Rattus norvegicus: one gene and its partner. The protein of the gene in region 1 purifies or fractionates together with the protein of each later gene. This does not show direct contact. Links are inferred from orthologs where the notes say so. Each region holds a gene or a part of one and is shown on either strand. Other genes may lie near its edges.

Region 1 (2,442 bases):
ATCCTTTCTACGCTTTGCAAGGAAAGCCTGCTCAAGCCGTCTTGGTTTTTACTACAAGGGAAAAGAGATTCTTCTTATTCCTATAGGCCCTAAATAATTATGATTAAACACAGACATCACTATTTAAAAAAGAACTCCATCTAAGGCACGCACATAGACGATAATTATGCAATTAAATATAAGATTAAAAATATGGAAAAGTTAATGAGGAGAGTATAATGATGAAATTCTTAAAATATGTTCTAACTAGCAAGCCTGAAATAAATTGTTCCTAGGCCGAGGGAAAGGATTGCATGGTGCTTCTATTCATTGGCAAATGCTGTCTGTATTTTTGGATATACCAATAACTTTAAAAAAAAATCTCACAAATTAAGCCTACAGCTAGTTTGCCACGGAACAGCACTTTAAATTGGTTGAAAATAGTAGTATTTTTCTAAAATAATAGGAACTTCCATAAAATCAAGGGCCATAGAATTTAAAGAGACCGAACGAAGTCTCTGTAGGCCTGATGTTCACTCCACTATTTTGTGCTGTAAAATGTTAGATTCTTAGTTTTCTTCTGCAGGAAACATTATTCAATTTTGTAGTCTTCGAAAATAGGTCTTAATAACACATTATCAACCATTATATGCATTTCTATTATTTTAATGACTTCATCAAAACTACGGTCTCTTTATTCTTATTCTAAACATTCCCAAGATAGTTTAGTAGATGACTACAACTATATACAGAGCTTTCTTTTCCAAAGTAATTGAATTCCTTGATTGCAAATAATGCTTTATTGTAGACAGCAGGTCTGCTCACCACTCTTCAAATGTATAAACACCCTAGTCATGATGTGAGATTAATTCTGTGTATTTTTCAGTACCTACTTTAGGTTTCACAACTATAAAGGAACACAGGGGAAAGCGTGCCAGTCCTCGACAGTAGACATTTTATGCAAGTCCATTTTCCAAAGATAATCGTATGTGACTTGCTATTAAATGGAAAGGACAGGCTTCATTGATTATGTCATGTATATTGCTGAGAGTTTCCATGGAGTTACAATTTGAACTAGTTTTCTCTAAACATAATGAAACCTCAAACAGGACAAAAATATTTAATGACCTGTTCCTGCAGGGATTTCAAAAGAAAATATCAGTGTTAACCATTTGGCATCACCTCAGGCCATAAACTAATAAGCCAGCTGCTGACCAGTGTTAATTAATGTTTAGTAAGGAACAGAGTGGTTAACAACTGCAAGCTTACCTTTGCGAACACTGTTTTAACATAAATTGGTAAGTCTCCATGAGGGCTGCCATAGCCACCTACAATGCTGAAGCCTAAGCCATCTGGTCCTCGGTCTAGTGTTATGGTCTTAGACTGTGGAGGGCTACAGAAAAGGAAAGGAGAAAAAAGGTTTCCCAACTGAATGTGCACACGCATATGTATGCATGTGCGCACAAACACCCCCACCCCAACCCTTGGCTCTGTGCTTTACCTGACTCAGACTATAGCTAGCATATTCTGCATTTACAGATAAGGAAGATGCTATTTATTACATGTTCTCATGGCACAGAAACTCTCATTCTCATTTTTTCCAGCTTATTGTGAGGGGATGAAAGTTCAAAGGGCCATAATGCAAGGTCATAAACAATAGTTTCAACTTCAGACAGGAAAGTCAATTGTGAACAAAATGAGGGCAGCATCAAATAACTTGAAAATTTAAATGTCTCTCTTTACTTTTCATCTTTCCCAATGCTTTTATATTTAGTGTTATTTTCTAATATATTCAGTATTTTCAATCAAAGTTCAATGAACAAGAGCAAGAAAATATCCTCTCAAAAATATCAAAACTGAAAATTCAGGAAGTGTGGTAGGGTGAATAGCTGTCTGTAGTCTATTCATCTCTTACTAGGTAACTGTTTATACTCGAGGCAGTTCTGACCAGGCAGTGGTCTGTAACCCACCCATCTGACTAGCTGACTAGAAGCATTGACACTCTCTACTTTATATGCCCTCTCCATTTATTTTACCTCAGTGTGAGTGCCCGGAACATGGGACAGAGACTGCAACTGTCTCAAGGAATAAATGACACACCCGATAATGTATTGCTCACCCTAAGTCATCCGGAAATATAGTGCTGGAAGTCAGCCCAGTGAAAGCAAGGCAAGGATTGGCAAGCTCTTGCTGATGACCCGTGACCACACTCACATCTCCTCCAGCAACCACCTGTGTGTGGGCACAGTGAGAGGAGGAAACGCATGTTCACCTAACCCAAGAGATCCCAAAAGACCACTCCAAAGAAAAACTTAGATTAAAATGAGAGTTTTTACTGACTGACTACTTAAACACAGAAATGATTAAAACATTATTGAAAAGAAAGAAACTTCACAATGCCCAGGAACCTCAGATATCCAAAATTAAGTTCTATAATTTTCTTTGTTTTCTAATCATGGCTTC
Region 2 (3,500 bases), on another chromosome or scaffold:
TGAACAAGGCAGTAAGTAGCACCCCTCCATGGCCTCTGCGTCAGCCCCTGCCTGTTTGGGTTTCTGTCCTGACGTCCTTCAATAATAAACAATGACTTGGAAGCAAGTGTAAGCCAAGTAAGTCCTTTCCTTCCAAGCTCCACTTTGGCCATTGCGTCTTGAAGCAGCAAAAGGAAACCTAACTACCATAGTGCTAAATGTTCTAACCTTCTAGATTATTCATGCAAATGCAAGAAGTCCCAGAGTCCACTGAGGAGGTGAAATCAACCAAGGAGGGAGCCCTCCCCACCTTCCATCCACTGCCCCAGCTGCATGCTGTTTTCAACGGCATCCAGTTCAACAGCCATCATTGCTGACAGCTGTCCTGAATTCCCCCGAAGGTCCCAGAGAGGTGACACCGCCTAACAGAGCTGAGGCCGCAAAGCCACAGCCTTCCCCATGCACTTCACCTCTCCACTCAAGTCCAGTGTGACTCGGGTAGAGTTAGAGGTAGGGGGAGTTTTCAAGAGTCTCAGGCTAACCACTACCCCACCTCTCCAAGCTGCCCTAGCATGTCCATTCGAGTAGCTTCTTCTCTACACGGGCCCTCCAGGGTCAGGGGGCAATTGGGCATCTCTCATGATCCAGTCATGCTGAGTTCTGCCCCCTAGAGCCACACTTGGGGCAATGTCTACAGCTACTTTCACAAAATGCAAATTATCCCTAGGGCCCTCTCCAGTCCTCTGCGCCCACCGCCCCCCAACTGCTATCTGAAGCTCAGAACAGCATTTCTACCCCGATTCACTGGGTCACACAGCATGTGTGCTTATGAAGGGCTGTGCTATGCTTTCACAGGAGAGCAGGATGCCTACTGTTGATAGATCCCCTTCTGACCTACAGAAAGGAGAGATACAAACATACAATCTGGACGGACTACAAACTCATGGCCAAAAAGATATGCTTGGGGTCTACTGAGACTCATTTCTGAATTTAGGAATGGGGATGGGGCGGTCTCCTGTCAAGTCCTGGATCCTACACAGTGCTCTCAGAAGGTGCCTCTCCTAGTGGAAAGAGGAACGAAATAAAAATACTTGTTCTGCCTGTCAAGTGGTAGCAACAGGGGATGCTATGAGTCACCCCTGTGTTAATGGGGACATCAAGAACAAAGGAGGAAAGGCCTGAGAAATTCAGACAAGGGCAAGTGTGAAGCCAGGGGAAGGCCCTGGTCTCTCTCTGATCCCCATCATCCTGACACCCAGGGCCTGACACCTGACTCTACCCTTGAGAGATACCTAAGTGCCACTCTCTGCTGTCACCAGAAGTTAGCACATAGGCATCATGGGAGCAAGAATGGGGAAATGGGAAGAGGGCACTTTGTCCAGTGCGATCTTAACCCTGGATCAGCTACGAGGCACTAAGTCGGTGGTTCTATACCTTCCTAATGCTATGGCTCTTTAATACATGGTGTGGTGACTGCAACCATAAAATTATTCTCACTGCTACTTTGTAACTGTCATTTTGGTACTGTCATGAATCATAATGTAAATATCTCTGTTTCTGAAGGTCTTAGGCAACCCCTGTGAAACGGTAATTTGATACCCCCAAAGGGACTGTGACCCTCAGGTTGAAAGCCACTACTCTCTAGGGAAGGCTCTTCAACAGAGCTCCCAAAAGTGTAGCCAATGAAGATTCCAAGATGAACAGAGGCTCTCCTCAAAATGAAGAAGAAGAGGCAATTACCCGGACTTGACCAGACACTCGTGAGTCTTGAGAACATCCTTGAGTGGTATGGTGCGCAGAGGCTCTCTATCCTGATGGGAAAGACGGAAGATGGGCAGGTGAGCTGTGCACACGGCCCAGTGACCCACGCCAGTTCACCAACACCCCTCTCTCAGAGTATTGGCTAAAACCGAATCCGGGGAAGAGCCCCAAAGCGGCTCACCGCACAGACGCTGGCAGCCATCCGGGCCCTTTTATAATCACATTATAAAGAGACGCAGGTTGGACAGAGATAAGACAAGAAGTGGCTTGGAAGTCTACATGGGCCTGGCTTCCACTCATGCTCACTCTCTGTTTCTCAGACCTCTCAGGAGGGACCCGAACCCTCTACCTACCTGCTCGCACTTGAAGTAGCAGATGGTAAAGTCATCGAGGGCAAAGAAGCGCCGTTTCCAACTCTTCCGCTGAAAGGAAAAACAAGGAGTCAAACCATCAAGGACAGGTCTCCAGAGCCGGGACTGGCACTGTCACAGAAAATGCCCAGACACCATGGAAGCCAGGCTGCCATCTTCAGCAGGGACAAAGAACAGGAACAATTGGAGTATGAAGTCAGTGAAAGGCCTAGGCCTCCATCTGAGCTCCCATCTTCCCAGGGACCAAGCACCTAATGCCTGAAGAGCACCTGAAGGTCCTTCTCTGCTGCCACCGGAAGCTTCTACTGTGCCAGCTAGTTTTAAATCAACTTGACACAGTCTGAGAGGAGGGAACCTCAATTGAGAAAATGCCTTCATAAGATGGGGCTACAGGCAAGCCTTCTGGGGGACTAATGGCCAGTTCCGAGTGGCAGTTAGCACAGAGGGGTACAGCTCCTCCTCTCACCGTCCTCTGCTCCATCCGTGCTCTCTGGGTCCCAGGGGCATCAGAACCCCAGCGTGGCCCCCATGCTGGCACTCACCACGTTCCCTTGCTTCACACAGTAGCCACTCTTAATAAGAGAAGGCCCGCTGGGGGGACGGCAGCCTGACGTGGGGACGTAGCTCTGAGACCTTCGCAGGAAGGCGTGAGTCCCTGGCTCGCTCCCTTCCGGCCCATCCCCACCATTCTACGAGGAAACAGAGGCACTGTTAACACCCCGGCCACTCCCCTGCGCAGACCAGCCCCTCCCAACCTCCCCGCCACACCTCTGGCTTTTTCGGTACAATGTCAAAGAACTAAGAACCGACTTTGACTCCAACTAGTCTGTGCTCTACTGAGTGTTTTCCCGAAGAACAACAATGGCTAAGAAGAAGAGGAGGAAGAGGAAGGAGGCAACACAGAACCGTAGAAGGCACAAGCACACAGACAGGGCTGCAGACTTTTACCCCACTGCCTCCCTCAGCCCCACTGCCTTTACATTTTATGAGTGCTCACTGCCTGGGTCTTAAGCAAAAGCACAGAGGCCGCACATCCTCAAGATGTCATGGCCCCAACCTCTACCTTGGCACCGACCACATCCACCCTGCACTGAATCGCCCGGGTCATCTTCTTCACTAGCTCCCCCATTCTAATGCTTTGGGCTGGTCCTTGGGCACAATGGACATGTCTTCACTGTCCCTGCACGGCACCCCTAGGCAATGGCACCTGGCTGATGGGTGTCTGCACCACCACTCCCCCGATGATCTCAGTCTTGTAGGCCACCTGCGGTTTCTTCTCTAGGGTGGGAGGAGCTGTCAGGTTTTTGAGAACTTCTGTGGCCACGGGTACCGTCCCAGCCTTGGGTACCTAGGAAGAACGGTGATATGGTCAGCAAAAAATAGAAAGCT

The links. Proteins that work in one complex are often made in the same cells at the same time.
Region 2: the proteins of Mpdz (region 1) and Plekha2 purify together in Homo sapiens (affinity purification with western blotting; 3 studies listed by BioGRID and IntAct, with this or other methods). This does not show direct contact. The link is inferred for Rattus norvegicus from reciprocal best matches to the Homo sapiens genes MPDZ and PLEKHA2.

What each region holds. Positions count from the first base shown.
Region 1 is NC_086023.1:100,814,063-100,816,504, forward strand, and holds part of Mpdz (multiple PDZ domain protein), read right to left. Parts: intron 2,212-2,442; coding exon 2,099-2,211; intron 1,373-2,098; coding exon 1,249-1,372; intron 1-1,248. UniProt on the Homo sapiens protein: Member of the NMDAR signaling complex that may play a role in control of AMPAR potentiation and synaptic plasticity in excitatory synapses. Promotes clustering of HT2RC at the cell surface.
Region 2 is NC_086034.1:73,683,222-73,686,721, reverse strand, and holds part of Plekha2 (pleckstrin homology domain containing A2), read right to left. Parts: intron 3,460-3,500; coding exon 3,319-3,459; intron 2,801-3,318; coding exon 2,654-2,800; intron 2,163-2,653; coding exon 2,094-2,162; intron 1,791-2,093; coding exon 1,720-1,790; intron 1-1,719. UniProt on the Homo sapiens protein: Binds specifically to phosphatidylinositol 3,4-diphosphate (PtdIns3,4P2), but not to other phosphoinositides. May recruit other proteins to the plasma membrane.